4 linked regions of the Styela clava genome follow. The protein of the gene in region 3 purifies or fractionates together with the protein of the main gene of each other region. This does not show direct contact. Links are inferred from orthologs where the notes say so. Each region holds a gene or a part of one and is shown on either strand. Other genes may lie near its edges. The genes, in order: neuralized-like protein 4, IQ calmodulin-binding motif-containing protein 1-like, centrosomal protein of 290 kDa-like and centrosomal protein of 76 kDa-like.

What was found.
Region 1: the proteins of centrosomal protein of 290 kDa-like (region 3) and neuralized-like protein 4 purify together in Homo sapiens (affinity purification with mass spectrometry; 3 studies listed by BioGRID and IntAct, with this or other methods). This does not show direct contact. The link is inferred for Styela clava from reciprocal best matches to the Homo sapiens genes CEP290 and NEURL4.
Region 2: the proteins of centrosomal protein of 290 kDa-like (region 3) and IQ calmodulin-binding motif-containing protein 1-like purify together in Homo sapiens (co-immunoprecipitation; 8 studies listed by BioGRID and IntAct, counting the BioPlex papers as one, with this or other methods). This does not show direct contact. The link is inferred for Styela clava from reciprocal best matches to the Homo sapiens genes CEP290 and IQCB1.
Region 4: the proteins of centrosomal protein of 290 kDa-like (region 3) and centrosomal protein of 76 kDa-like purify together in Homo sapiens (co-immunoprecipitation; 5 studies listed by BioGRID and IntAct, with this or other methods). This does not show direct contact. The link is inferred for Styela clava from reciprocal best matches to the Homo sapiens genes CEP290 and CEP76.

Annotation. Positions count from the first base shown.
Region 1 is NC_135252.1:6,169,639-6,178,434, reverse strand, and holds the start of neuralized-like protein 4, read left to right. Parts: upstream 1-5,246; 5' UTR 5,247-5,505; coding exon 5,506-6,520; intron 6,521-6,948; coding exon 6,949-7,087; intron 7,088-7,688; coding exon 7,689-7,885; intron 7,886-8,225; coding exon 8,226-8,796. UniProt on the Homo sapiens protein: Promotes CCP110 ubiquitination and proteasome-dependent degradation. By counteracting accumulation of CP110, maintains normal centriolar homeostasis and preventing formation of ectopic microtubular organizing centers.
Region 2 is NC_135260.1:8,785,361-8,793,270, forward strand, and holds the start of IQ calmodulin-binding motif-containing protein 1-like, read left to right. Parts: upstream 1-4,564; 5' UTR 4,565-7,910. Other genes in the region: F-box only protein 32-like, read right to left, coding at 234-325, 645-751. UniProt on the Homo sapiens protein: Involved in ciliogenesis. The function in an early step in cilia formation depends on its association with CEP290/NPHP6.
Region 3 is NC_135257.1:13,834,759-13,843,495, reverse strand, and holds the start of centrosomal protein of 290 kDa-like, read left to right. Parts: upstream 1-5,002; 5' UTR 5,003-5,056; coding exon 5,057-5,233; intron 5,234-5,639; coding exon 5,640-5,744; intron 5,745-6,908; coding exon 6,909-7,115; intron 7,116-7,192; coding exon 7,193-7,348; intron 7,349-7,934; coding exon 7,935-8,117; intron 8,118-8,737. Other genes in the region: tripartite motif-containing protein 2-like, read left to right, coding at 1-16, 262-479, 937-1,101, 1,565-1,764, 1,989-2,129, 2,433-2,585. UniProt on the Homo sapiens protein: Involved in early and late steps in cilia formation. Its association with CCP110 is required for inhibition of primary cilia formation by CCP110.
Region 4 is NC_135252.1:22,882,612-22,890,671, reverse strand, and holds the start of centrosomal protein of 76 kDa-like, read right to left. Parts: upstream 3,292-8,060; 5' UTR 3,255-3,291; coding exon 3,068-3,254; intron 1,174-3,067; coding exon 1-1,173. UniProt on the Homo sapiens protein: Centrosomal protein involved in regulation of centriole duplication. Required to limit centriole duplication to once per cell cycle by preventing centriole reduplication.

The sequences.
Region 1 (8,796 bases), on a different chromosome or scaffold from region 3:
ATACTCACTCAGTATCAAACAAACGCCCGGATAGGTTGGAAGCAAAGGATGACACGTGGGCCTTGTCAGGGACCTTTCTACAATTTATTCAAGCAGCATCGTGGTAATAGATTATTACCTCGGGGATTCTTTTTCTTAAATAGAACACTAAGCAGCATGAGCACTACATTGCCCTCAAGTGTCCTATATAGTATATATTATACATTATCATCGTGAGCACTGTTTAACGACTGGCAGCTCTTCCCAAAGTTTTGTTTGTGGTCAATCACATATTAGCTTCTAGGACTAGGATCTATATACAACCAACGACTGAAAGACTTTCATCAAATGATTGCCCTGAAGTAGGCTATGTACAGGAGCAGGCACTCAAGACTATCGTGGTGTTTTTTTAATATGTGAGCGCAGATAATTGAAATCGCCATACTTTCGTGCCGTATCGTGTACAGAGTACAGAGTAAACTTTTCAAGCTTTTGAATAGTTGCTTGCAAAGAGCCTATTTCGGATAAACATAACATTCTTTTGAGGAGGTGCTTGTCCATATCATAGTTCGGAGCCAAAAATTCAATGTTGTCAGCTACCTACTGTGCAGAGACATTCGATCTAATAAAATATCTCAGTATACAGAAGGGACACTGCCGGCTTGTCCATATTAGCGATGCCGCTCGAGGGAATTTGTCCCCATAGCATAAACTTGCATTTACTCTCGTTTTTACCTTCTTCCGATTTGTTTTTTGTTTGGCAACATTTAGATTGCTTTGTATTGTACTGTATTTTTTTCTAATATAAATTGAAGTTATGTTTTGTTAAAAACTTTTGAAGCTACAGGACGTGGTATTTGGTTATATGGTCTTAATCACCAGTTGAATGGTTTGGTTGTACGGCAGCTATACACAAGATGTGTACTGTCAGTCAAGGGCGGTGTTATGTAAAACTAAACGTATTCTATTAATGTTATCCAAATGTCTCTGTGTCGTGTCTGACATTATAACTAATGTGGGCCTTTACGAATACATAATGATTGTGTGTGACGTTTTCGTTGTATCGGATCCTCCTGACACATAAATTACTGAAAACCTAAGACACATCACTCAGTCACATTGCTGGGTTGCCACACACAATAAAAAACATATTTCACAAGTAACTCACTCGAAAAAGAGTCATATACTAAGACTGCATTTTGAAAATACAATAGCCTCCATATGTGATGCGGTGAGGCTTGATCTAAGCGAGCTCAGTGGCAGTATTTTCAGCTGCAGAAAATAATTGCTCACTTGGAGTTGATGTTTCCGTCACACACATATACTTGCCAAACAACTTACTCATATAACCCGCTTTTTGCTCGTTCCCCCAAGTAAGGAGGCTTGAACAGTCAGAAAGTACTTTGGAACTAAAGAAATATGTTCACCTCATTGGCAACTGTTGGGACCTCGATATCTGCACTACCATGCATTAGACTCTGATGAATCGAAGGTAACACCATATTCTGTTGAAACAATTTCTGAAAGTACCACTTAGTCAACAAAATTGTGCTAAAATACCAACACTGAAAATGAATTTAAAATTTGAAGCGAACAGCGACAGCGAAAGGCCACCATCAGCATAGACCGTTCGCGTCGCATACGTGGCAGGCCGTCTTTTCCATATCAATCAACGAATCTATAGTAATACTTTCCTCTACCCACCACTTTTCTTGAGTGGTGATAATAATTCTTCAGATGATCCCCGTTCCGGGTGAATTTCATAGTCCTTGGGCGAATTTTCATAAATTGTCGTTTGTCGGCGTGTAGACAAGTTGTGCTGCTCCAAAAATCCAGGACACCATCGGCACGACACCGTCCCACAGAATCGGGGGCGAACCTCGTTTTGAGACATAAAGTTTTTTTTATTGTTTAGATATAATGTCGATGACATAAATAAAGATACCCAGGTGGGTGTGGAGTATATAATGTTGAGCAATTTTTCCTAAGTGGATTTCGGGGCGCTCCGGAAATATTCGTACCAAGATGACGCGTATCCTGAACCTTAACCTGGTAAACATACAATGTTCAGGTTGTGTGCCATCTTGGTACCAATACTTCGAGAGCACCTTTTTGTTAAAAACAATTATTTCATAACTACATGGGTTAGTTCTGAAGACATAGTAACATTGAATCTCCTCACAGTGTCAGAAATTCAATTTTAGTACAATAAATGGTAGTTCATTTCACTAATAGAAGCCAAGATCTATCGACAGCATCTAGCCACTTTTTTTGCACTCTTCAAACTACATTTGTGTTGCCGCGGGCGTTTCGTTTTCCTGCTTAAAGTTTCGGGACTTGTGAAATCGTTTATTAGTTGAAATGGATTGCAATATTTGACCTCGTCTTTCGCTCCGAACTAGGCCATGTAAAACCATCCACTGGTATCTAATGATGTGTAACGTGTTTTCTTTTGGAAGAACCGGAACCTTTCAGGTTCAGCATTGACTTCGGCCAAATTAATATATTCTTGTGGAAATAGAGGATATGCGTATGCGAAACCGAGATGTGCACCTTTTATGCCAACATAGTTGAGTCAAACATTTTGATCACTAGCACATCACATATATTTTCCTGAGTGCTTCGGTTGCATGGGGTAACGCGCACATTTTTGCGCACATGCATCAAATTCCACTTGTCTATTGATCTATAGGTTTTTGACGAGCTTTTGTGTATGATTTCATCCCATAGAATTTGTATGCTGTTCTAAAGAATACTAGTTTCAGGTTATTCATTTAAACCGCGTATCGGAAGTAAATTTGTAATATTGTGTGTTGGTTTTCAACTGGTTTATTGATATCCATCATTTTGACATCTTTAAATCGGTGAAGTCTTTCAAGAAGACTTGCTCGAGCCAAAGTAAATGAGCATCATCAGGTGATCGGTAAGGCTGCAAGTTGATTTCAGCCCTGCAACCTCCTACATAGAAGATAATATTAATTAGTGGGCTATGAGCTAAATTCCTAAATTTAGACGCAAACCTATCTACGAGGCAATATGTACCATCAATGTTACCTAAGATAAACTGAATATGTAATATGTCTAATAAATTCACCTACTAAAGCAAGTTCGATGGGTGCAAACTTTGTGTTATGGAATTGTATCACAGCACCGTTAAGAGAAGTATAAACAGTTTTGCTGTTTTGTATCACACCCTCTTTAAATGAAATTTCAATGTTTAAGTGCAAACATTAAAATTAGTCTTAAGTGATTCAAGAGTCTTGCTGCGCACTAACACAAATATATTTCTGTAACGTTTCGTCTGACCAAGGTCAGACTTCTTCAGACATACATAGTTATATATTTACGGTTCAACTATAACAAGAAAAGCGGTTACATTCCTTTTTTAAACAATAAATATTATTGAGCATGCATATGACCGAATTCTCTATTAAACTGACCTATTAAAATGTCGGTCGTGCATAAATCAGGACAAAACACCGATTTGGCAACTTTAATTTAAATTACTTTAGTTAAATCGTAAATATATACTACGTTAAATTTATTAAACGGAAGTCTCACTTGCAACAATGATTTTTGTTATTTATCGCTGATTTTATATTTGCGCAGCATTTCTTGACTGCTTACAATTTTTCTATTTTAAACCATGCTGCCGTTCCATATGGAGGAATTTGAATCGTCAAATCGAACGAAAATGTTTTTCGTTAATTTCCAATTTTAATAAACTTAATTAAATTACATTTCCAGCATTTGACGCCATGAATTTGAGATCCACAGAAAACTGTTGATGTGTATATTTTAGCCGATATTGCTCCAATCGAACAAAATATCGCTGTTATTTTCAATTCTAAGCCTACTCGTCGGCGCCCGAATGTCTGGCGTCAAATCTGTAACGGCGACGCAACATGACGTTTCCTTGGAAGTGAGCGACGTCAGGGTGACGTCAGTTCAACGTGTGCGTTAGATGCCATTATTTTGATATAAAAAAAATATTTGGATTTTATTTGTGTCTCGAGTATCAGCGACATCTCGCGATCAGTCTAATTTTTTATATACATTGATAACGTCCTCTGTCGAATGACGGTATTTTGACGAAGTTAGCATCGGTAGAAGTCACGATTTGAACCGCTCGAAAACTGAGTGTCAATTTTATGCTAAAACGAGATTCTTAATCAAAAAGTGGATTAAACTGCGCGATTGAATATGATAACAGATTGAGATATATAAGGACTCACTAAAGAAACTGCTAGAAGCACAATATGACGCTATTTAGTCGAGATATAAACGATTGAAAATTTCATTCGAAGTTACAAGGCACCCGAAGTTACTCGATTTTACCGTAACGAATTTTGCATATGTTATTCATAACCCCCACCTGACTATGTCATCCAAAAATTACGTCACTACGACTTCACCACGTCATAGGGCTTGCCAAAGTATAATTACGATCGCCCGAAATGGGAGGCGCAGTTCTTACCACTTTATGGCAGCTCCTGCCACGAACGAACCGCGGCAGCTCTTGCCATGGTTTTATAGCGCTATTCTGTATTCAGTAATCAGTATTAACGGTATATTCACAAACTAATGTACCAAATTCTAATTGATCATGGGGAATTATATCTACTTAAACCCTAACCCTAACCCCAAATCCATCAAGACTGTATCCATAAGAAAAACGTTCCAACTTACCCAATATTTGTCACCCTAAGGGACAGCCCTGTCCTTACGGCCCACCTGCCGCGGTTAAGGCAGCAAAATTTTACCTGCCATTGGTTTTCAATTTGCTGCCGCGGTAACGGCAGCTCGACATTGGTTTGTGGCAGCTAAAAATTCAGTCGCCATAGGTTTGGCCGTAGCGGCCATGGTATGGAAATACCGCCATGGTTTTGCGGCAGCTGCAGACGCCATAGAATACTTAAAACTGCACTTGCGAAATGGCATCTACGCCGCCGAAAACGAACTCGCTAAAGCTGGCGATCTCTCTCCTACCGTTATCGTCGTGACGAGAAAAATAGCTTGTTCGATTTCGGGTGATCGTCTGCGCGTTTTGGACGACCATCCGGATACTTTGGTGGGCCTTATTACGCCACCGTGACGTCGAAATGACGTAATTTTTCGGTGACGTAGTCAGGTGGGGGTTAGGATTGACATATGCAAAAGTTGTTGAGCCAGGCCAACTAGAAGTGCATGTGGAACTAAACTATACCGGTACCAGACCCCTAAACTATACTAGACCGCTTAGTCAATATTCAGATATTGCAATTTTCAACATCTTTCCTGTTCAAATTTTAGCTACTTACTGACATACAATCCATGCCAATGGATTGTCTGTGCCTATAATGCAACTGTTGGATATTTAAAATTAAATACCAATTACCTCAGTACTTGATAAATACATACAACATATGAAACATGAAGCATATGAGCCAACAAGAAATAAATTCAACTTTATAATTAACCCAGTGCAATATACCACTGCACAGAAGAATTGAAAACAACAAAGAGTAATTGTTTTTCAAATTTAAAATGACAAATGCACAAAAGTTTCACAGACGAACAGGTCGACTGGTTGAACTATCGAAACACTACACAAGTGCTGGAAGGAAGCATGCCAAAGAGGAATTCAATGATGGAATGATATTTTCTGAAAATCCATTGAAAGCAAATGAACTGTTTACCATATGCATAGACAAAAAAATCGCTTCATGGAGTGGTTCTATTGAAATTGGGCTGGTTGCAACAGATCCATCAAAATTAGTTATTCCAAAGGGGGCGATTGCAATTCGACATGGCAGTTGGTTTATATCCGGAACTTCGGTGAATATAGATGGTGTGGCAACAATTGATGATTATTGTCAGGACTTGGATTCTTTAGACATTGGAGATACTGTAGGTATCATGAGAAATGATAATAACCAAGTTCATTTGTATATAAATGGAGCTGATCAAGGTGTTGCTGCTGTGTGCATATATGAATCCGTTTGGGCTATGGTTAATTTGTATGGAAAATGTGCTGGTGTAACAATAGTCTCCGATTCAACAGTCTCTTTACCACAAGTTTCAAATCTGCAAGATTCATTAACATTTTCAGAAGTTTTATTTGACAGAAGAAATAGAAGTAAAATGTTGCAACATCAGTCTTGCTTTTTGGATGGAGAATCATTAGTATTTTATGCAAAATGTGGTTCTTTAATACAACTACTGGAAGGTGGTATGACTGCGGTCCGCTCCCATCATCAAGATGAGTTTAATAACGGTGTCGTTATGACAAATCGAACATTGAAAAATGATGAATTATTTGAAATAAAACTCAACGCCTTGACAGACAAATGGTCTGGCTCTATTGAAATGGGTGTTACTACACATGCTCCTGATTTGCTGGAGATCCCGAGCACGATGACAAATCTTCGGTCTGGTACAGTAATGTTGAGTGGCTGTGGGATCATTACAAATGGTAAAGGTAGCAGAAAACACTATCTAGATTTTCATTTGGACGAATTAAAAGTTGGAGATCATATCGGTCTAATGAGGAAAGAGGAAGGTAAGAAGTGACTAGCAATATTATTCAATTGGGTTTGATAAACATTATATGTAGTTACAGAGAGGAAGGAATTTATTGATCGTCAAATCAAAAAACAATATTAGTTACCACTCAACATGACAGAATTTTCAATATATTCAACTATTACTGTATTAATAACCAGAATCCAAACAAGAAAGTGCAATTCTTGATTATATATGAAACTTCAATCGTTGAGAAAAATAAATTTTAATTACCTCTTATACATTTTGCCAATTTGAACAAATTATGTTGAACATATTGCAGTTTTACGTGTAAGGTGTAACTATGACTGGTTGAGTAATCATGAGTTTTGGTATATTATTTCATAAAGCAGGATTTGTGGTTAGCTGGACTAGGTGCATCAACTATATATACTGCTACTAAATATATTTATTTCTATATTTTAGGTACTTTACACTTTTTCATCAATGGAGTAGACCAAGGTGTTGCAGCAAACAATATACCTCCTCATATATATGGTGTTGTGGATTTATATGGCAGAGCAGTCAGTGTTTCAATTGTTCCACATCACTCTGTTTTTGAAAGGTTTGTTCTTTATCCAGATAAAATGCTATCACCCATTTATTGATCACCTTTTTATAGATATCACAACAAGTTGATTAAATAATTTGTAATGATTTCATGAACTAATATAAACTTTTCAAATTCATTTTAAAATCAGTTACAGATGCCAAGTTACCATGTAATTTCAATTTCATTCTGTTATATATTGGTATATAGTAATAATAACTTTTTTTGATATGATGGATTATTTTGTCCAGGACATGGGTATGCAACTGTTTATCGCAATGACCTAAAACATAAAATAATGATGATGCTGATGGCCAAACTATTTAGCTATAGTAACCAGCAGAATGTTTTGTACAGCAATTTTACACTGCTATATTGCTTGCATAAATCAGGCATACCACATCCTGATTGTGTTGAACAAAGAAGTATTTTAGACACCACTCAGTGTAGAACTTATGCTTTTTATAATCATGTGACACAAAGTCAAAAATGCAGGTCTTGTTACGAATAGGAAAAAGCATCCAAAAATATGGGCCATATAAATAGGCGTGGCGTAGGCCATTCAGCTTTTGTTTACTTATTCCATAACGAAAACTTTTCCTCGTTATATTATTAGGAGTCGAAGAAACAATGCGGTTGTTGACAGAATTTTGCTTGATTCTAATCTTCTTGAAGAACGTGAACCACTTCTGTTTGATGTTTCATGTGGAAAGCACATCGAACTGTCATCGTGCAAGAAATCAGCCATGCGGCAAAATCCTCTGGAAGATTTTAATCATGCAGTAGTGCTGAGTGCAAGAACTCTGAATACTGGTGCGTACATTAGAAAACAAAGTTTGATTTTCATTTTCATCATCTTTGGTGTTGCCCCTTTGTTAATTTATGGTGGATCAAACCATTCCTCAAATATCAAATTCCCATGTAGGCTGACTTCAGCATTCTTGCATTTTATAAAATGATATATACTGGTTTAGCCTCATTCATGTGATATGATCATATTTGACAGTTATTTGAACAATCAAAAAAAAAATTAGCTATTAATCAGGTAAAACCCAAAATTATTTCCAATTTATCATTCCTATATATATTTACATTTTTACAAACATTTTTACTATATAATTAATTGCAATAATGCTAATATTTTATCGTGCAGGAGAAACCTTTACTGTTAAAGTGGAAGATGTTGTAGAAAAATGGTCAGGTTCATTGGAGATTGGTATTACGACATACCCACCAGAAGCCTTGAATTTCCCAGCAACCATGACAAATGTACGATCTGGAACATGGATCATGACAGCTACAGGTGTAATGGTGAATGGTGTAACTGTTGTTGATGACTATGGTACAAACGTAGACAATATGTCTATTGGAGACACTCTTGGAGTTTGTAGAAAATCCAATGGAAATCTACATTTTTATATGAATGGAATAGACCAAGGATTAGCAGCTAAAGATGTCCCTGAAAACATCTATGCAGTTGTTGATCTGTATGGACAAGTTTCGAAAGTAACCATTGTGGATTCGCTTGTCGATTGGGAATATTCAATGCCAGTTCCAATTAATGATCCAACTGGGTATTCTTTATCTCAACAAGCTGGTTTAAAATTAAATTCTGCTCGAACTCATGTTTGTATAATGGAAGATGGTTCTCTTTCTGCTCATAGAAAAAACCCAAATCACTTTTTTGACGGTAGTGTTATAGTTATGGACAAAAAACTGACTGT
Region 2 (7,910 bases), on a different chromosome or scaffold from region 3:
TGTATATAAGTATTGTAAATCTCATTTACACTTGCAAATATTTTATGTGTTTTATTTGAAAAGACCACTTTTACATGAGGAATTAAAAAGAAAAGGCTATATACAAATTTATATACCCAGTAATCCATTCAGATTATACATTTTCTTTTTCTGAATATAAAGCTTTCATATATCCCAAAACTGTATGCAGAATGTGAATGAGTTAAAATACTCAAATTTTTAAATAAATATACCAGGAGCAGCTGAAAGATATGAATACAAGCGCTTGTAAGCTTTTTGTTGTTTGCTTCTTAAAAACATTTCGATTGTCTTCTTGACTTGATTTCTGAAAAAATGTATATTTATACATCTTGGAGCATATATATATGAATGAGCTAAGTACTTTCAAATCGTAAAATATGGATAACTTAACGAACTAATAACGAAAGACTTTATTTCGCAAATCCGCTATGAGATCATAAAAATCATGAGGAATTAGAGGTCAAATATATGCAGATATATAATAGCAAATAGCCAGAACAAATCATCTTGAGATATTTTGAAATGTATCAGTATCAATTGTTACAACAATCATTTGTCTTGTTTCATAAATAAAAAGGCATACAGATAACTTTCGATGCTATAGTAGAGAAAATTTAACTTACATGTGAATAGAATCAACTATAACTTCTGATTGTGTAACATCTTCTTGCCATCCCCCTGGTCCCTTGATCCACCTCAACCCAGCACCACCCCAAAGTGACACTGCCATATACGTATTTCTTGAAATTGTTCAAATAATAATAAAATGATTAACTAATATCTGAATATTAAAATAAGGTACTTATTAGCACATATAAAACATTGATTGGCAATAGATAGAAGAGTGGTATTTGGGTGTATAAAGGTGTTTTAGTCAAAAAGGCTATTTTCATGTAAATGCTGAAATGACAAGAAAACTAAATTTAAAAGAAAATGTTGATAACAAAAGTGCAAAGAATACTCCTGTTATAATATTGTTCCATATATTATAGCTAGATAATCTAGTTTTTCAGTTTTTCAATTTTGTATAAGCAATACCAAATCAGAATAATCTCTGTCATAAGCATCATAAAAAAAATGTCAGACTTGTTTTTCAATCATTAATATACTGATATATACAAATGGTTAACTTTGGTCTAATAGCGATAAAATGTTTAACTTACTGACTTAGCTTAAAAATCTTTAGATTCAATATGCCAGTATTCTTCACTTTCCAGATTTCTGACTTTGTTTAATGGACAATTTTTCTATGTTGGTCAAGTTTATTGATGAAGAGATTTATGCAATTTTATAATTTGAACAGCATTTTATTAAAGCATGTTGAGAAGCCATCGTAAGGTTGTAAAGCCATCAATTTCACATATTTTCTACTGCTTTGTCAAGCAGACAAGGATTTTTTTCATACAACATTACATGCAATGTCTGAATTTTGAGAAGCTGAACTTTAATATAAGAATATGCTGAAATGTTGGCAGGGTAAACACGTTCGATCGATGGTGGTAAACAGGTCGAGGACCAAATATTTTTGGAGGCTTCACGGAATACGGTACACAAGATATACAGAGATAAGACGCTACTGTCTGACTGCAGAACTGTAACCCAAACCAGTAAATCCGGTACCGTAAATCCTGGTTACTCAGTCCAGCAGGCACTTTCCTGATAGAACATCCCCGGAATATATCGATTTCCATAAAAACAGGTGGCGTAGATCAATAAATTACGCTGCCACATATTGTTTCCAACCTATATCCCGTATATTCAACGGTGAATTGCAACACCAGTCGTACACAAAGACTTCTGAGCAAAACGTAACACATGCAGCATGTCTTTGTTTACCAAGTCATATGTTTGTGCATGTGACTATACTGATAACCAATCATCAACACGGTAGGCGGGGCGTTACACTCTGTGAGCACGAATCGGAACCAACACACCTTCGCAACACCCCACACATACGCCGTTTAAAATCTCTTTGTCTAATGACTTTTGCTTTGTTTGTCACCTTGTGATGCATTAGAAATGTTTTAGTTCACATTACCTTTTCGTCATATTCTCACGAGGTTTATGGTATTTTATACCCTAAAATAAGTGTTAAAATTTCTTGCCGATAAGGTTAATGTTGTTTTGAGCCAACTTATTTTACCTGTTTATAGTATCAATACTGTACACAAATTTTAATGAATAAGTGAATGATTTACCAAATGGATTTTTGTGTGATTCAACTTCGCGACAACCATTCTAGTGAAATTTGTTACAATAAATGCGATGATATATTTTCACATATCAATTAAATTAATCAAACTGTATTGTGCTTTATGAACCGAAAAATTCTTGTTTAGTAGAGCCAATGTCATTGCTCAGACAGATCTTCAAGCGTGGTCGTAAACATTACCTCGTTTTCGCGTTTTTGAACTCTATTCGTTAGTTTTCACTTGTGTTTCGGAAACTTGAATATAAATCAGATAATTCAATGATCACTCTGTCTTCCTCGGAGTTTTAATTTAATTGCAGTAATAAAAAATTAGGGTAGAAATAGCTGTGATGGACTGGGCTAAAATTTATTACCGGTACTTTTAAAAAAACAGATTGTCGTATGCGATGAATCATAATGATGGTTCGAAACACATACCCCATTTTACAGGCGCCAACTCGCAAAATCACTCTTAAAATACCCCTGAAAATTTTGCAATGGTAAAGTATAGAAAGAATTTCATGGGAGTCAAAGTGACTCCGGTGTGAGGATAAAAAGACTCTGGTCAGCGAGGGCAATAAAATTTCAAAATAGCCATTAGAGATATGGCTAGGGATACGGCAGGTAGTACGGGAGCGGTAGCTTTGGCGGGCTGACGGACAACTCACCAGAGACAAGTCAAAGATAAATAAAGCACAACCGGTGTATAGCAAAACGATATAATTTGCCGACGTTTCGAATTTCTATTCAGAAAAACTTCATCAGGGCATGATATGAAGAGTAAGTACACTATCATATATATATAGAGTAAAAAAATAAAAAAGATAGTAAAAATTAAACGGCGTGAAAAACTGAAAAAGGGACAATATCATAATAGATCCGGGTGAATAAGCGCAAGTTCAAACAATTACGCGACTATCTAAACAATGATTTATATACATGCGGGAACAATGTAGTATCTTTATCGTTCATTGAATTTTTCTCTTTGTTGATATGATAAGATTCGAGAAATAGTCTTTTTCTGTAGTGAATTTCATGTTCCAATATCCTGCTGTTATCCCAATCAATGCTGTGTGCAGAGACAACTCGACTACCTAGAGGCCTGGTGAGTTGTCCGTCTTTTGGCATTTTCTACGGTGGTGTTTTTTGTCTATAGAAATGCGTTTTTGGTAATTTTAGTGCTCAAATGTTGAGAAAATACATAAATATGCTCTAGAAAGCATTTTTATTTGTATAAGTGGCTTATTTTGATCATGTTGTATGATACAAACACAGTCTACAGACGAAATTGGAGTACGGTAACGTTAGCGAAGTTAGACTGTTGACTTATAGGACTGTGTTCGTTTAATTTTTCGAACTTTATTGGTATTAAATGAGCACCTTTAAATATATTAAAACCTTTATACTTCACAGTAACACTCAAATAGTTATAAATGTGAGCTCAGTAGTCTATGGTTGCAGTAGTCTAAACTCGCCTACGGCAGACGCCCGAGAGGCCGTCAACTCACCAGTCGAGCAAACGCTCTGCGACGTGACGTCATCGATGCTCGAGGTGAAGACAACTCGACTACCGAGCAACGAGAGGCAGACAACTCACCAAGTCGAGCAATCGCTCTGCGATATCGATGCTCGAGGAGAAGACATTGCGCCATGACAAAAAGAAAACAAAATCTTCTATCCATTAAATTTCCCCATAACGTTTAGTATTCAAATATCACATTAAATTCATTAATCGTAACAAAAAGTAAACATCTTTTATACATTCTTCGGCCCAGTTTCTTTGCCAGGCACAGCGACAGTGCCTATCTGTTCCTGGTTTTCTTCTGCAAAAAGAAATTCCAACTCTATGACTGAAACCTTGCCGTGGTGAGTTGGCTTACAACTAATATCAGTCGGCACTAAGTAAATGCTATGCAACTCTTGAGTCTGCGTTTTGCAAAGCAATGTCTTCTCCTCGAGCATCGATATCGCAGAGCGATTGCTCGACTGGTGAGTTGTCTGCCTCTCGTTGCTCGGTAGTCGAGTTATCTTCACCTCGAGCATCGATGACGTCCGCTCGCAGAGCGTTTGCTCGACTGGTGCGTTGACGGCCTGTCGGGCGACTGCCGTAGGCGAGTTTACACTACTGCAACCATATACTACTGAGCTCACATTCATAAATATTTAAGTGTTACTGTGAAGTATAAATGTTTTAATATATTTAAAGGTGCTCATTCAAAACATTTAATACCAATAAAGTTCGAAAAATTAAACGAACTCAGTCCTGTAAGTCAACAGTCTAACTTCGCTAACGTTACTCCAATTTCGTCTGTAGACAGGACAGGATAGGATTTACGTATTTATCCCGAGGGAGAGGAAAGCCGATAAGACGGCTTATCCATATGGCGAACCACGGCCTCTCGTCTGGTTACCATTTCAAGTCGGGTATGGGATTAGTTTTACTGTATTGTTTGTTTTCGGAAGCATGGACTTGGTGGTGGAGGAAGCCGTAACCGACCAGCGGTTACGTGAACCACCCAACGACGGCGAGGAGTCCAGCAATCCTCTCGCACATAACCATCCCTGTATGGGATTCGAACCTGCGAACCCACGCAGAGTAGTTAGAGGTGCGGTGGCGAGCGTATTCCTAACGCTTAGCCCGTTGAGCCACACCGCCGCGCCTATTCATACAACATGATCAAAATAAGCCACTTATACAAATAAAAATGCTTTCTAGAGCATATTTATGTATTTTTCTCAACATTTGAGCACTAAAAATATCAAAAACGCATTTCTATAGACATAAAACACCACCGTAGAAAATGCCAAAAGACGGACGACTCACCAGGCCTCTAGGTAGTCGAATTGTCTCTGGTGAGTTGTCCGTGTAGTCGAGTTTTCCGCCTCCCGCTTTGGCGTACGGTACTGGCGTAAGAGAGCTCAAAAATGTCGAAGAATGATAAATTTGAGGAATATAGTCCAACTGTGGGCAAACCGCGGCTCACGAGCCGCATGAGGCCCGTCCGAGTTTTCTGCGGCTCTTCTCGCTAACATTTAATATTATCCAAATGTAACTTAAGAGAAACTGTAGTGTAACATTTTTTTAAATTTATTTAGCGGTAGAAGCAATTTTCATCAATGATTAGGACAAATTATGTTTTAGTATGAAAATCGTTGTGTCGTGGAATTTTAAATCAGTCAAGCAACAAATCTTACGTCACAATGGTCAAATTGTATGTTGCTGCGTTGGCTGCATCCTGCATTGTAGCTTGATTGTGGTTAGTCTCAGTTAAAGTGCGATATGTTCACAAGTAAGGAGCGAAAATACGAAGATGAAAACAGAGTTGTCAAGTCAGAATGGAAGAAGAATACGCATTTATTCGTCAAGAAAATAAATCTTTGTGATTGAACTCTCATATGGCTGCTAATTCATAATAAAGTCAGCAATGTTGATCGGCACCGTGGAACGAAAAGAAAAATGGTAAAACAACAAAAAGAATCAAGTCAAAAATTATGGATACAAAATAATGCTAATGAATTTGATTATGGAGAAAAATGTACAAAATGGTTTTTCAAAAAATTAAAGGAAAAACATGAAAAGTGCACAATAGAAAAAATGAAAGATAAGAACGGCAATTCCTTCAATAACTTGAAGGAAAAGTTGGAAATAGGGAAGGAATACACAAATTTATATAAAAAAAACGTGAAACAAACAAAAAAGAGCAATTACTATTTCTAAACGCCTTGGAAAAAAGCCTAATGATGAGGGTGCAATTGAGATGAACTCTAAAATAACTATGGAATAATCTAAAACAACTATGAACTAAGGATATATGACATTATTACATAAAATCACAGATTCAGTAGTTTTGGTACGAGATATAGTTTCTGAAGCGGAAAGAGGCAATAGTAAATCATTTTTGGTATCGTTGGATTTTGAAAAAGCATTCGATTCTGTCGATCTGCAGTATAAGTATGAAGTATTAAAAAAAATTGGTTTCAAAAATAAAATAATTAGTGTAGTAAAGGCAATGCAAAAAAATGAAAAACTGTATTATCATCAATGGTGGAATAAGTGAAAGCTTTACTATTAAAAGAGGGGTCAGACAAGGTGAACCAGTAAGTTTATATTTATTTATAATAGCAATTGAGCCATTAATAATATCAATACAAAGAAACCAGAAAATAGAAGGAATAATGATACCTGGGAATATTGAAATAAAAGAAATAAGAGATTTACCGACAATATAACATTAACACTGAATAAGAAAACATCATTGGAAATGGCTATGGAAACAATAGAAAAATTTGAACAAGCAACAGCCAACAGCAATGAAATTGAACAAAACAAAAATCATGAAATTGGGATTACAAGAAACACTGAGCGCTTTGAACATGAATGAAGTTGAACAAATGGCAGAATGGAGAAAAGAATGGACAAAAGATATGGGAGGATATGATTTACTGGACATACCGTACCTGTATTTATGAAATATTCATGATTATAAAAATAAAAAAAATTTTGCCCACCCCTGGCAATATACGATGGTAATTATATTGGATGGTGACAATTAATACTGTACCGGTACCGTACCTAGGGCTAGGTATAATATTTTTTTTACATAAGTTACTTGTTTCAACACATATTAGGTACTAAAAAAAGTGAATCAAGCAAACATACCGGTATCGTACATTACAGTATTGAATGTACCGATTTCAGATGACTAACGGTTACGATTTTTTTTAACCGTTAACTGACATCTCAGGTACAAATCATCTTCATACCGTACAATTTCTTCAAGTATGATTACGTCATCGCAAATTTATCTCTTGTGGCATTTAATTCAAAAGAATATTACTAACTGTGTGGGTAAGGACTCAATAAATGTGAAAAATAATGGCAGTACCAAGATTGCTGATTATGGAAATTTGACAATGATGAATTCAGAATCGGTTTTCGGTCAATTTCCAAATATATTGTTCACGATTTCATTGCGAAATTGGATATTCAATGTCGTACAACAAGTGTGCAGTTGATGCCGTTTTTCTTTATATGATATATATCTCGAAGTAAAATTTGCATGTCGAACACTGAAAATTTGTCACATAAATGACATTCAACAATGGAATCGGGTTTTCTAAAATACTTCCACGTGCCCGAACCACGCTGCCTATCTCTTGCAGCAGATTATGAAACTATCTCGATGCGTGAATAATTAGGCTTCCCGCTAGGGTTGGATTATCCGGATAGCGGTTAACCGGATATCCGGTTAACCAAGAGTTATTTTGCTATCTGATATCCGGATATTATTGTGACGGTTAACCGGATAATAGAGCGGTATAAATAATGCATATGCGCATTAGCGATTTTTATATGTTTTGTTGAGTGGCGACTGACATCTCCCAGAGCATATAATAACAACTTTTTCCACTCTAATCTGCCTATATTTTAGCTTTCCGTAGAATGGTGGAGTGAACTTCACTATTACATCACAAAACACGCAGAACAAATATGATTATTGCGCTAATTAGAAGAGCTCATTCGCTTTATAAAATTAGAATTGAAGTGGAGGTACAGTTTAAGCAAGACTAACTTAAACTAATTCAGTTGAATAGTATTGGTTGGGTGGGTGTGAGTTTGTTGCTTTTTTGTCGGGTGTGGCTTTTAGTTGTTGCGTGTATTGAAAGAACGCATTTCATCATGAAGTAAACCAGTATG
Region 3 (8,737 bases):
TGAAACGTCCACAAAGGTAAATCCGTTCAACAAAAACTTTGTGTGTTTGGTGGACATTAAATTGTCTATTTATCTATAATTCACAATTATCCTAGAATCATGGTTGCCTCACAATTTCGGTATATATAAGTAAGTTGAAGAATTTTTTTCCACATTCTATAAAATAGCTCGTATATATATATGGTAATTTATAAAGTCCTACTAATTGGTCAACCAAATATTTGCATTATCTAATCATTCTAAAACTCGTTGTTTTTGCAGTATGGGCCCACGTAAAAACCCAATAGAAGATGACCTCGTACAGAAAGTTGGTAGCCGAGGTCGAGGCAAAGGCGAATTTTCTAATCCACAAGGTGTCTCAACTGACCACCTGGGTCGTCTCGTGGTTTCCGACAGCACTAATCAATGCATTCAAGTGTTTTCCGTAAGCTCAAAGAAAACAAGAGAACCTAAATACCTCTTCAGATTTGGTGAACGTGGTATGTACATGTTTATTCAAGAATAACCTGAATGAAGTTACGAAAATTGCTAAGAATCTATTAGCTTGATATTATGTCGGGATATTCCCGAGTTTATTGCACATAAATATTAAGTGAGGCTGATTATAAGTTGTTGGATAGTGTTTGAATAAACGTTCCATACACAACACCGCCTCGACGACAAAACACCAACGACTCCAATATCTTGATACTTGTAAAAAACTCAAATTTTTCGTATGATATACAATTTTCATAAATTTAGAATGATGAACTTTGAACCTGAGTTGCCTTATTATTTAAGTGCCATTTTCACACGGTCTAACTCCAACAGATGGCCGAAGAAACCTTGGTTTCATAAAGTTTTTTATTTGAGATTGTTATGCGTATCTTTCTAAAGTTTGCAAGACAATATTCACACACCAGCATTAGTTTAGGATTTATTTTAATCTGCACAAAGTTGCAGGTCGAGGAAGTGGACAAGTTCAGCGACCTACTGGAGTTTTCGGTTTACCAAACGGTGATATAGCTGTTTCAGATTATGACAATAAGGTGGTAAAAATATTTTCTGAAGATGGAACAAGCAAATTGAATATTGGAACGGGAAAGCTCATGGGGCCTAAAGGTTTTTTGCTATTTTTCATCTAAATGTCAAGTTGAAATCACGTATACCAATATATATGAATTATTTAAGCGTTGATGTCTGTACCTTATCCGTTGTTTTCACACAAACTAAAATGAAATTATGTCGACTAAGATAGTTTATTTGATCAATCGATAGTCGGCCAAATTCTGTATTTCATTTATCCATGTCCAAAATAAAAAATGTGTGAAATGTATAGTTAGTTTATAGAAACGTGCTTCGAATGAAAAGGAATTTATACAAGTCATATTGAATTTAAAAAACTGATTGTAATTGAGATATATATATATATATATATATGTCACGCAATAGTCCATCCAAGCAGAGCGATAACTGACTCAGATGGAGAAATATCCCCTGACAAATGTAGCTACAACTACCAGAATTTATAAGAGTGTGTATACTGATATTCATTATACAATATGTAAATACCTAAGCATTACAGGTTTATGTATCGATCACAATGGACATCTTGTAGTTGTGGACAATAAATTATGTCAAATATTTGTGTTTCAACTTAATGGAAAACTCGTAACTAAGTTTGGGACTCGAGGCACAGAAATCCATCAATTGGCCGGACCTCATTTTGTAGCTGTTTACAACGACAACTTTTATGTATCCGATTTTTACAATCACTGCATAAAAGTAAGTATTTTGTAAGTAAGTTTTGTTAGCTATAACAATAAGCACAAAGATATCTTCCCACAAAAGAATTTTAAGTGAAGAATTTCTGGTCCTCTAGTCGGCAAACTAGATGTATTGTTCACAGCCTTGAAAAACATACAATAAATACAGAATAAATTATTTTTGTTTAAGAATCTGATAACCGAACTATTGCCATCGAATGTTAAATATGTAATATTTTCCAGATATTTTCTGCGAGTGGCAAATGCAGTAATGTAATCGGCTCAACCGGTGAAGGTTGCGGGCAATTCAACGCTCCCACAGGTCTGGCAATCGATTCTCGAGGTAACATGATAGTTGCTGACTGGGGCAACAGCCGACTTCAAGTGAGATATTCATTTGATTGATTTGTATATTAAATTATCCTCATCGCAAACGAAATGAGTAACGAAACCATTCCAATATTCGTCATTTGAAACGATCCAAGTTATCAGTGTTTGTAAATTAAACTGCTGAGTATATAATATTTGGTTGACACGGTTGGTGACTATAAAACCGGTTAAATTTAACTTCGAATTGGATTGAACAATCTGCAATGTGATTCAAATCTAAAACAATTTCATACAATCCACGATTAGTGCCAATGAATTTGTTCCTTTTTGTTATTTACACCAATTTACATGTTACAGGTTTTTGACAAACATGGATCATTTCTTTCATATATAAACACAGACGAAGATCCACTTTATGGACCACAAGGCGTTACTCTTATTAATGAAGACCAAGTGGCTGTGGCGGATTCAGGAAATCAATGCGTTAAAATATATCGATACCTGCAATAATGATTTATCAAATTTCATTTCTTTATTTTTGTTCCTCGTGTTTATTCTGAGTTTATTGTTGATTATGAAAACTATCAAAGACAATAGATTGATTTGCATAAAATTGTTGAAACGTGAACTTAAAATATATATATGCTACGGATTTAAGCAGTTAACTACAGCTGCTAACCCACCATGATAAAAATGAAGATAAGTACACTGATAAGAGAATAATTAATGTCGAATGGGTACAAGCGTAAATATGGTACAAGAGATGAGTTTATAGAGAAAATACCGAGTGGAGTGATTAGGATGTTGTTAGTTAATTGGAAAGGTGTCTGAAATTAGGATGCCTTTAGTTTTAGATAAAATTGTCCTATTTCAAGATTATGGTTTATCTTGCGGGCGTGCTTCTGCAATTAGTGTATCCGGGTGGTCATCCACAATCACGTGACTAAATAGGTACAATGATGTTCAGTCTTCTGTTACTGCGACATTAAACCCCTTGACCACAGTAAATTATTTTTAAGTTCATGTACAAGTAGACTTACGAGGATAAAGTAGGAACAAAGTAGGCAACCATTTACAATATTATAAAGCATAAGGTATAGCTTCAGCTTCCGATCCTCCCGCGCACACCCAACGCAAACAATCGTTATGGTGCGTACTGCACCATTTGCCTAACTTCTTGACAAAAGTTTTTTGTATTTGTCGTAGTTCAAATTAAAGTTACGACCACTTTCTGATCAATATATTTTTACGTATACTAAAAAAGGCCAAATTATTCAAAATTAGTAGCCATCCAAAATGTTAAAGGGCGTTTCAGTCGCTGCAAAGGCTCGCTCCCTGATGTTCAAACTTTAAGATTTGGGAGCCAAATACAGCGTGCAGTCATGCGTGTTAAATTTTTAAATGATGTTCACTTGTTCCCTATAACTTAAAAGTCGAGTTACATGGATGTTCTTTTTCAGTATTAAATACATATACTTGAGTAGATCGTTCATGGGAAATATTAGGATGTTAAACTATACAAAACACCTTGCATTTGCAAAACTGTGGTTATTTGGAAACTGTGTTCAACCATGCGTGAAATTCTTGACTTCCGTTTGTTTTGGTCGTCAATGGTAAATTAAATGCTTGCTGCAGCATCTCTAGTATGATAATTTCGTTGTGGTACGAAGGCAGTGTGACTTTGTGTACGACTTTACCAGGGATGCAGTTCAGGTTTTCGCGAATATTTATGCTTGGTGATCCCATGCTTATTCAAGTACGGTACCGTTTACTAACAGACTAACCATACTGTTTTTAGGTTTTACAGTAGATTGGTAGAGATAGGCTTAGCCCACAAATGATTAATTAGTAAAGGATAGGATTTACATATTTATCCCGGCGGTGACACAAAGGCACACAGCTGCAGAAACAAAAGCAGACTAATACAGTAATACGCCGCGTCATATTTTAGAATAAAGTTTAAAGGGCTTGAAAGATTGCAGTTGCTGTACCCATTTGGCGGTGTGGCTCAACGGGCTAAGCGTTAGGAATACGCTCGCCACCGCACCTCTAATTACTCTGCATGGGTTCGCAGGTTCGAATCCCATGCAGAGATGGTTATGTGCGAGAGGATTGCTGGACTCCTCGCCATCGTTGGGTGGTTCACGTAACCGCTGGTCGGTTACGGCTTCCTCCACCACCAAGTCCATGCTTCCGAAAACAAACAATACAGTAAAACTAATCCCATACCCGACTTGGAATGGTAACCGGACGAGAGGCCGTGGTTCGCCATATGGATAAGCCGTCTTATCGGCTTTCCTCTCCCCCGGGATAAATATGTAAAATCCTATCCTATCCTACTGAACCAATGTCTGAATGTGCATAAACAAAATGTAATTTGCTTAGGTAACTTTAGTAGTACCTTACCGGTAACGTAAGTTACCCTATTATCTCCGCTTTTTATTCCGATCCATCTAAAATCTATAATACTTTACGTAACATTTCTTTTATATTTTCTCGGAACATTGGCTACCGATCGAGAAAAAAAGCCAACAGCAGTGATCCCCAAAAAGAATTTGCTATAGCGATATCTCAAAAATATAGCAGAAATGTTGATGTGGCGATAATAGGAACTACGATTATCCTATTATTGCCACTTGTGTCAAACTTTTTATATACGCAAAGAAAGAGCTATCAATTGCAGAATTGCCTCTGCTACGTGCACTAGAAGTACTTATGGTACTATAATAGACCCAATGTACTTAGATTTTGTAGAAACTCAGTAAATCCTGAACTGTGTACTGGTATAAGTCAACACATAATTCCGTTAGTTGCAACAGGTTCTTCCAACCTCCTAAGAACACACATACTAGTAGCTTTTACTTCTATTTTACTCAATTACATACTTTTGAAGTTACATATCATTTGTTTTTCCCCATTATTTTCAGGGTTCGAAATGATCTTATAGAAATTGACTACAAAGACATTTTGCCATTTTTATTATGGCTCCCAATATTGATTGGGCCACTGTTGGCACAGTGGCTCAAGGTAGTTCTACAGTGGATGACGAGACAATTGACAGGGTGGTTGAAGATCTTCGTACAGTTAAAGATGCAGATTTTAAAAATGAACCAGACAAGTTGATCATGCTTTTCAAATCTGCTTTGAATATTCTTGATGTAAGTACTAAATTATAATGAAAGCCTCATGTAGTTTTGTGGGTATAAGGGTGACCTATAAAGTTTCAAATACAGTTTTTCAAGGTATAAAACCTATTTCATACATCAATTTAAAGTTAAAAAGTGTTTTTGTTTGAATGGAAAACTTCTATCATTGAAAAAAAAAATCTGTAAAATCAAACCCGAATTTTTTTTTCCTCATAATGATTAATGAGTTCCCAGTTCTATGCCAGTGATTTTTATCATATGTAAACTTGAACTGCCTATAATAAAAGTCTTTTTCTGGTATTTATGGAAAAGTTATTCACCAAAGTGTTATTTCCATCATATCATGATTTTTCTCTTCTGTAACTCACTGCGACAAATCCAGCTAACTTAAAACTTTAAAATGTCATACCATCTACAGCATCGAGAGCAAGAATATGAAGCTTTACTCGATGAACAAGTAAAATCTGTTAATGATAAAGATTCACAGATTGAAGAATTAAAAAGAAGGCTAGAGGATGAACGAGTAAGATTTTGTCGAATAATTGGGAATGAGACTTAAAAATTTATATGGTTTAGCAATTTGCTCATTATGAATGTAGCAATATTATTTTCTTTGTTAATATTTTAATGCTTAATCACATAAATTTGAATTGGCACTATTTTGAGATTGATACAACAAGAACAACAAATGCAAAATATAAAAAAGAGTCTTTTTACTGTAAGACATTTTCAATTGTCAATTGTGTCAATGTTTACAATAAATAATATAGTGTTCATTTCCAAAACATCTCACTTTCAAAATACCAATCTATTATTATTACTGTGATAACCTTTTTCTAAGTTGATACGCTATCTGCTCCATTTCCGATTTTCTATATATCTGTTATATATTCAGTCTAATTGTGCTCTATACTACTTCAATTCTGTAGTTAATATTGTTCACTTTCCACGAAGTCTCTTCTAGTTTTCAAAATACTTTGGTATCCGTCTCATGCTCTACTAACAAATAGCATTCTTTCATTTTTGAACCAGATTAAGTTGGTTTCTATTCAAAACTATAGAATGTATTTAAACTGATGATACATAACATTAAGTTTTTATTTATTTCACATTAATTATGAGATTACTCTTTTTTCTCATTTAATTCCAGTATAAAAGAATATTTATCTTAGAACTTTTATGTGAAGTATTAGTAAAGAATCAAATATTCATGAACCACTGACCAGATCTTTGCTAAATTTTTCTATCGAGAACATTTAGTTTAGAATGTCATTTTATGTTTTAAAATAAATTGCTCAGTTATTATTGAATGGTTGAATAGCTGATGATTTCAAAATAGCTTTATATCTCATCAGAGGGTAACATATATAATGCTATATGTAGGTTTTGGAACTAGGAGATCTTTATTTTGAAACAGTATCATGACTTGGTGTATGAGTAAAACTAGATTTTTTTGGAGCAATGCAGAGATAAGTAATATTATTGATTTTTCAACTGGAATTTGAAATGATCAATAAATGTATATTCATTTGAGAACTGGAACTTCAACCTGCGCTTGTGCTTCCTCCAAAAGTTTGATAACATTTTTTTCCATACTTATAATTTTATGACTAGTATAGACATATGGTAATTCTTAAATTCGAAAATTACATTTATGACAGACATTGACGTTTCTTGGTTTTTGCAGAGATTTGGATCGGGAGGTGCTGGTGGCCTCCGCGGCGACACGGAATACATTCGTGCGGAAAATAGGAATCTTGCTGAATTGGTAGAAGGATACAAAGAACAAGAAAGGGAACTTAGAATTGAACTTGAAGAAATGTCGAGAGATAGATATACTTTTGAGCGAGAGAACAACGAAATGAAACAACAAGTTAAAGATCTAAAACTGGAGGTACGTTTTTAAAATGAAAACGTTAATTTTACATCATAATGCCATATTTTTCGGCTAAAATATTTCATGCTTTTTAGAATCAAGAATTGAAAAGTGATCTTCGCGACTTCCGTGATATTATGGAGAAGCAACATCGTGAACGTTTGGGTGTCAAAGGTCATATTGATTCAGAAATGAAAGACAAACTCACTGAGAAAAACAATCAAATAACAGATTTACTCGATCAAATAACGGTTTGTATTTTTCTTTATTCAGGAATTGTGGTAGAAATATGCTATCTAATTAAATTCCAAGCCAACTAAAGTTATGTGAGATAAATTTTAAGGCTATGTGAATAAGTTCATTTCTGTCTATATTTTTATCTCATTTTTTCTAAATGTTATTTGAATCAATTTTTTAACACAGAAGTGGGTAAATTACGGCCCGTGGGCCTGATTTGGCCCACCGAAGTGTTTCATCTGGCCCAGTTGTGCCTGCTGAAATTTTACGATTATAAATTTTTGTTGAAAAAATCAATGAGAATAGCGAATCGTTGGCCAAAATAAATAGCGAACTTCTCCTGTATTAATTGTACTCTAATATAATGTACAGAACGAGCCATATATTACCTTAAACTCACTTATCCGAATTATTTATGTCATTGTAAAACTCGAGTCTCGGCCAGGAATAGCTCCTGAGACACGTTTTTAGAGAGACCTTCTAAGACTTTAAAAAAAAGTCATTGGATATCTGGAATTATTTTGTAAAATACATAGTTATTATTAGTCCTTGATTGAATTTTTAGTAAAATGTGGTTTTATGTTTGCATTACTCCTTCAGGAATTAGAAAAAGTAAACAAAGACTTGGAATCCAAAAATCATGGAGTCAGAGATGAAATGGAAAGAGCTCAACAGGACATGGAAAAGATGGCCGACGAATATGAGAAAATGAAACGTGTCATAGATGGAACAGATCAGTACTCAGAAAATATTCAGAAGGAGAATGCTGCATACAAACTCCAGGTGTCTTGATTAACTAATATTATCGATTAAGATAATCTCTCGATATAGCAAGTGTATTTATTAGCTTTCTTTCGATCATAGTCTAACAAGATTTATCTATATGTTAACTACCGTTATAAATCGCCCCAAAATTCTGGAAAATATTACACAAAAATTATTTAATGAAGCTTCGAAATGGAGATTGGAGTTAAATTTTGTCTGGATGGAATATTCCATAGAGGAAAATTTTCATGAGTAAACTTTTTAAGTGATGATTTTTCTACTCTATAAGTTATGTGCTAAAAGCTTGTCAATACTATACACCAGTAGCCAGTAACACTCTTTATGCCTTAAGTATATCCATTATTCTTCATATTAACTCTGCCTTTATTAATCCACCCACATGTATAAGTTTTTCAAATGGTGTTCCATATGACAAAGTCTTGTCATTAAATCAGTTGATATTGATAATACTTTAAATATAAATTTTTTTTTATTTTTCTGAAAGCTTCAGAACTGTTAGTAGGGATGGCAAAACCGAATATTCTGGAATATCTAATACATTCTAAATATAGGGCAAGCAGTTGCCCAGTTCCATTTTATAGGAAAAATTATTTATTTCATATACTCAATATATCTTC
Region 4 (8,060 bases), on a different chromosome or scaffold from region 3:
GTGGATCATCTGGCGCCACCATGCGGTGGATGTATCGATGACCTGTAACTGCGTCCCAGAAAATTACAGTCGCACCTTCTGAATAACGAGTCACAACCCAGGTGTATGCTCCACCCCTGTTTTTCGACCCGACGCAGACGTAAGCGTCAAGTCCGAATCCAAGCAATAAACTGCATAGAAGATTAGAATGGTCTTCGTGGTCGCCTTTTCCGAGAGCGAAAAATGCGTGCGAAGATCGCCATTGTTCCACATTACCTCCGGAACCCACAGTTGGAGCTCGCTCGTATCCTAAAGTACTAACAAATCTCGCTGCTTGTCGAGGTGTATGAAGCAATCTACCAGCTCGAAGAGGTTTCACAAAACTACAAACAGGGCGGTTTAAACCAGTTTCATCCTGTGCGAAAATTTTTACAGTACGTGTTTGATGTTCCTCTCGAATTTGAAGATATTCTCTCCACCATTGTTTTGCATAAACTAGAAAAAGTCGTTCTTTTTCCGCAGAACGCCGCCTTTCAAGTTGACATTGTACGTCTACGACTTCTTTTGTCAAACTCACACGGTTTTCTCGTGGCACAACTTCTAATTTAGCTTCCAAAATACCAGCTGGGATTTTAGACTCCGCTCCAACACCCATTAACTCTATCGACACCTTGTGGGATCCCTGTGGAGTAGATAAAACTTTCCGCCACTCGAGGGAGTCTGTTCCAACTAGAGAAATAGTACCGTCAGGGTCTGTTCGGGTTAAGATAAGATGAATCGGATCACAGATTGATAACATAGTTTCTGTGTCGGCCATTCTACCCCCCTCACCAGCAAAATGTGTGTGAAGTTCGAGCAGAAACCCTTCAGACAAATCAGGTTCGCAGGCAACTTGCACAGGTCGTGACCTGAACCTTTGACCCCGGAATAGCAAATGAAGCGTGAAAGTTGCACATGGTCTTGTCGAGTCGCCAGAAACGCCAGGATATTTCGGGGCATTTAGATGATCAATAAAAGCCTTTCCTCCGAGTATTTGGATAAAAATGTAACGCCGTGTCGGATCAACAGCGACTTTGTTTTTCAGTTCCGCTTGAATTAATTCTTCATCAAGATTTTTATGGATGGATGGTTTTGTTCGAGCAGCAATGATCGGCGATTCGTAACGAAGTCTCTGCAGAATTTCTTCCACAACACCTGAGAAAGTGAAAAAAGAAATTTAAAACTTCAACTCCCAACAATGGTGAACTAACTAGGCATTGATGAAACATGTTGTTACTTAGGATAGGATTTACATATTCATGGCATAAACATATGGCGGACCAGGGCCTTTCGTCCGTTTGCCATTCCATGTCGGGTATGGGATTAGTGGTGGATGGTGGCGGAAGCCGTAACCGACCAGCGGTTACGTAAACCACCCTACAGCGACGAGAAATCCTGCAATCCTCTCGCACATAACCACGTCCCGCATGGGATTCAAACCCACGCAGAGTAATTAGAGGCGCGGTGACGAGCGAATTCCTAACGCTTAGCACGATTAGCCGCACCGTATTGTGTGTGGACACTCAGCGAACTAGCTGCGTGATAGATTATGTGTTTTCACCAATTTATGTGTCTGGAAGACACATTACAATAAAACAGTCAATACAACTACATATCTTCCAAGTATTCAAGATTCGATTCAATTCTGAAATTATCAGATATTCGATAATGCCCAGTCCTAATAATTGCTGAGCAACGCTCTTCTTACTGTGTAACACGGCTTGGAAAATTACAAAAATTCAAGCGTCATTGCGCTGTAATAATCATGTGCAGTAAAGCATTTTCAGCATTGCGTTGCAAACAATATCTGAAGACTCGTTCATCTCAATTAGAATAGTTCACCAAATAAAATGTATAGGATGGATAACGGGTACAATGTAATTTGTTTGTGAGATTCATCATTCCCTTTCATTGTTATCATATCATAAAAAATTGAATATGTATTCCCTTTCATTGTTATCATATCATAAAAAATTGAATATGTAATTGAAAATTAAAATTTCTATCTGCGAGCATCAATGAGATGACTGGAGGAGTATGCTAGCAATACTGCAAACTGCAAAGTGAATCATGATTATTGATTGAATATCAAAGCGGCCATAACACTGATCATACGATCAGAAATATTTGCGCACTGATACAATTGGAATATTTAGTTGTAATCAGCAATTTGTTTTTCCACCAACGGTGGAAATATGTTACATACATATATGGTGTAGAATAATATAGAAAGTATCATCACTATATTCAGATACTTTTGTCGATGCAGTTATATTTGGGATCTAGATGAAGAATCAAGTCCACATATCTGGAACAAATAACTGGTTAAGTGCTCCCATACTCAACACAGACTGGTAAGCGGTAACCCATGAATCGCTATGTCAGTGGATGTGGCCCTTAAAGTGGAGTAATAAACAGGGGGCCATGAGTGCTAAAAGCTTCTGGAAGAGGGCTACTAGCCATAAAAGGTTGAGAACCAAAGCGTTTTTCACACCGTGAGAATGAACCCACAGAATAAATATGAAAATCCTAATCCCAGACCTCAAGTAGCTTACTTACCACTTACCAGTGTTGCAGTACACATACGAACAAATGTATTTTTGTCAAACTTTTCCAGGCAACCATATTTCAACTACCGTATATGCTCGTTTTACCGCCCGATCTTGATTGATTGATTGATTTGATCTTGATCAAACTTTTCCAGGCAACCATATTTCAACTACCGTATATGCTCGTTTGAATACCGCCCGTGTGAACAGAACATAAATAAGGGTTGGTGCTTGAATACCCGCCCGATGTAAAAGCTGATTTTTCAGTGGTAGAGAACAATAGGAAATAAGAAGCGCTTTTGTCACAATGGATTAATGTCATCCAATATTTGTCTTCAAAGATACCGTAAGTTTTGTGTATAATTTTACTTTAAAAAATGACAAAGAGCCCGCGCTTGAATGAGGGCCGGTTTGAATAAGAGCTCGGTTATTGAGTTTGATTAAAAAAATATCGGCCCAGGCTACAAAACGAGCAAATATGGTAAATTTAAATATATCACCTTTTCTTTTCAAGTCTTCCATTATGTCCCCTTCAGATATTTCCGTCCGATCATGTCCAGCTCGTTGTTGATTAAAACTTCCGGCCAAAACATCTTTAATCTGAGTCTGTATGTTCGCTTGTACAAGTTGGTTATGGATAATCTGCTTCAACTCCGCAAGCTTTTCTGGTGGAAGAGCTGACGCCATATTCACTGATATAATGACGCAGTTAAATGATTAAACACTGTTTCGATATAAGTATACGTTTATTTCGACTACTTACCAGCATAACATACGATATGATCAGTTTTTATTTATTTGTTTTTATCAACTACGGCAGGGGTCGGCAACCTACGGCCCGCGGGCCGAATCTGGCACACCTACTAATATAATCCGGCCTGTGGCACATCACTGAATTATAGTAACAAAACAGCTGTTTCGACGATTATAGTCTTACATACCAGAATTTATTGTGAGACAAGTGTAGACTAAATTATATTGTTACCTAACAAGTATATAATTCACAATTACTCGTTTAATGAGCCTATAATTTAATTATAATTTAGACAAATGGCAACAAAACGCAGAAAAGTTGATGCTAAGTGTAAAGGGTTCAATGGCACCGATAATATTCAAATGGAATTTTTTGAGATGCAATGCAATGAGGAAATAAAGCTATATTCTATTCGAGAGATGTATCGTTCGATTTTCCACTTTCTAAAAATATGTGCGGCCCGCCAATGACTTGCAACCCTTAATTTTGGCCCGCGAGCAACAAAAGGTTGCCGACCCCTGCACTACGGTATGGTATTTCATGTCTGTTATGCTGATTACTGGATGGAATCTAAATAACTTATTATTATTATAAAATACAGTAATTGATAACAATGAATAAAAATTGTTTATAAAATCAGGGGAACAAATATAACATGTACAGGACGGCAGAACGGAATATATAGATATATTGTGAAATGTTTTGCCAAAATAAAGAGATACTGATACGGTACGTCTGTACCGTACTTGTTCACTTATCAATGAATAAATCATATTATTTCAGTTCTCTGACATAAACAGGCAAACAAAATGCAGAGATAGTCTACCTAGAACTGAAGAAGGCGAGCATAACTTGAAATAAAGTTGAAGAAGTGTATAATTACCGGATTCAGAATACTTTTAACACAATTTAAAAACAAGATTATTGCACCGTAATACGGTGGTAAATGATTAAACCTCGTCTGTTGGTCTGGATATATACCGGTGACAAAAATACCCACTGATATAATAATGAGATTACACATCTCAATTTTCTTCGATAAATGACTGCAATAGTTTGAACCGTACCGGTACGTTCAGACGAAAGCCAGTACCGGTACAGCAGTAATACGGTGCCGGTACGATACCGTAGCCTATGGGTAGATAACAGCAATAACCACTGATGTAATCACACTATTGACTATATAGAAAGAAGCTTCGATAACTCTGTAACTGTTAAAACATGAACAGTAGAATCCAACCGTTCAGCTGCAAACCGAGTTAAAACTCGGCGAACTAGGTTTGTTTTGTTTTTGAAATACGGGAATTTTCAGTTGACGATACGGGTCAATGATTTGCTAAGGATCATTGACCGCGTTACAGGTACTGAAGCGTGACTCTATTGATCCAATTCAAAAAATTATGACCGCGAGATGTCGTTAGAGAGCAATGAGTTTTGTTTTTTAAATTGAAATCTTGAAGGGTAGGTCGTTTTATATTTTCATTAATATTGATTTTTTTGTGTGTGATTATTTGTGTTTGAAATCTTTTTCGAGATTTTCCCTTTCTACTGCGTTGTACGTTGAGACGAATTCGTTTAAAATAATAAAAAAACATAGCAGTGAAAGCCAAGCGGGCGGTTACAACGTATTTCCGGTACTAAAACCTCTTTCTATCGAACTCTCTTGTATGTTTATTCCCCGGGAAAAAACATGTTTTCTTGCCATCATGATTTATTAAAATTGTTGTGCCGTATGCGTTAGTTATAAATTACAATTGCAGCTATAAGAAAAATCAGCTTACTCTGTCTCACCCATACTAAGCACGGTGGCAGGGAGGACTTTCTTGCGATTTGGGAACGGTTTACTGTACTGAGTGTTTACCCTCGCACATCAATATATTTGGAGAGCATAGTAGAAAAAAACAATTCTACCCTTTTCGAAATTAATATAATAACCAATATATATGGACAATTATCAGGCCTACAGCATCACCATTTTTCGGCAGCGAGTGTTCTTTAATCCATATATCTGTAGGAAAAGCACATACACGTCCCATATTTTAATTTATAAGATATTGCCGATGTCACATCGTGTTTTAGCTTTATTGTGTTTTGACTGTTTTGGGGGGACGGGCACGTACTTGTACGTATTTATCTTTATTATTAAGTTCTGCCCGTCCTCCAGGTTTTCTGTATTTTGTTTGCCCTTTGTTGTTGTTTTGTTTGTTGTTTGTATCAGAGTGACCAAATAAAATTGATTGATTATGATCTTTGATATTTGCAGTTATATCTTATTTTGTCTAAAGAAGTTAGACTATGATCCAAAGGAAGCCAACTAATATACTTGCTATTTCGGGGAAAGAGATTGTGTTATTCATGTTTATCTGTGTGTTCAAGTTATAATTGAATTGTTTTGTGTCATATAGGAGTTCGAAAAAATTATCCTATCTGTCTATGTCTGAAAGGTGAGATTTTCCATTCAGTACATTTGTGTCCATGTTTGAACTTTTTTCTTGTGTGTTGTAAATTTTTGAGCCAAGACGTTTTGATGCATTTCCACTTAATGCTGACGTAATTTGACTCGTTTTTGTTAAGCCCTAGCAGAGAGCATTTGTCAATAAGTAAAAATGCCCAGAAACTCATGACTGTCCGCTTGACTGAAATTGTGGAATGTGTACGTAAGACATCACGCGCACTGCCGTATCGAATTTCATGTTCTCAAGCAAAACGTCACATGCACTATTGGACGTATAGAATTTCCTGTTCCTACGCCAAAACGTCACGTGCACTTAAGTATGCGTGGGAAGTTACGTCCAAAAATTAAGCATCACGTGGTCTTACGCACGAGTAGGAAATACTGCAAAATGTTTTAGTGCAGTTTCTAATGGATGCTAGACAGATTTACTTTGATATGTATGTAAGTATGTTTATTTGCCTGAAAAATGTAACAATATCTGCATAATAAATAAACAGTAAAACAGAGACGAGAAACATGTTCAAGACCTTACTGGCCTAAGACACAGATGTGCGACATGCACCCCTACTAACAATTATAACAGCAGTTTAGGACTGCTGCGTTATATTGGGACAACAGACATGCTGTACAAATAGGCTATACAAATAAAACTCTAGTAAAATACACACGGGTTTAAACCAGTATCACTGTTGGGTAAAATGGATCTTTTGTACGAATCCCCCTAAATAACACCCTCGCCAACGCTTAAAATAATAAAACGAGAATATCGGTCGGAGACCGAAGACTTATCGATCGGAGGTTAGGGGATCCCCCAAAAAAGCGCTCTTACTCCATAGTGACACCGTGTGTCCCATCACTAATTAATTATAAACTCGCTAATTATACGACATAATTCATCCAAAATCAATAGGCTCCTGATCCGAGCTATGATGAATACAATGCAAAATTTGGAGCAGATTTAACTTCGCTTTCGTGAGATATCGCTTGCATCTAACAGACAGACAAACAAACAGACAAATACCTATCAGCATACTTACCGATATTAAGATCGATAAGTAATAATAATTATCCCGCTAGGATTATGGCGAGAGCTGGGAATGCAAATTGCGCTGGAAATCTAAATTTTCGATTCATTACTGAACCGAACCCGATAATTGCTAATTTAATGTCCAAATTCGGTTATATCCACAAAATGACAACAAAATCAGGTGTATTATGGAAGAGCGTAATATTTCACAACACTGACCTAGAAAAATTAGAAAGCCAATAATTCTTGAACAACGTTCTTATTATTGCGTGACAAGGCTTGGAAAATTACAGACATTTTAGCGTCATTGTGCTGGAATAATCACGTGGATTCAGGCATTTTCGGCGTTGTGTAGCAAACACAATCTGATGTCGGGTTCTTCCTAATTAACACAAACCCAGTGATTTTATTCTTGTTGGAATGCCCAGCGTACGTTAATAATCATGTGAAGTTACGCATGATTATCATCACGTGATTAGTCTGCGCGAGTCACGCATTCAGACGCTCTTAATTAACGTAGGACTTAGCTGAGTGGAAAATTACTGCAATTTATACTTCAAGTAACAAACAACCCATGATAATAATCACGTGAATTGTTACGCATGCGTGAAACCCAAACGCATTCGAAATGTCTGACGTAACTTACGGAATACCGAATTAATAATGTCTACTGTAATTAAGAATGAAAAATTAGTATGAAACATTGCGCAAATTTATATATTTTATTTAGCAAAGTTCAAATCATATTTAAATGCAACTTGTATTACTTAAATCACCTAATGGTCAGATAAACAAGCTAATGTTCACCCCCCAAAGTCCTTATATCTGTGAAAAAATTGACTGGCCGAACTTCAGTTTTTACTTCACCATTGACATCTAGCTGAAACGCTAGGGAAGTAAAAAAATGGGTCGATGTTCGGAGAGACATATATTATGATGTCACAATTTTTCTTTAGTGGTTTAGCAAAAAATGCATCACATTACAACTGAGAAAGAAAAAATAAGATTCGAGCAAAAGCAGCAAATGTTCATCACAAAAATACTGCTTCCTTTTTAATCTATAAATACACATCGCGCTATAAATATCTCATGTTATTTTTTCAGTTTCATAAGGAAACCCTATCCAACGCATATTCATATTTATTTAAGATCGTCTTGATTTCCTCTCTGGCCTATTTCTTGTTATTACGAGTGTTAGTCCAATATTATAAACAAACAGTAAATTTGCTTAAAAAAACTGTAAGAGATTCGGTAATG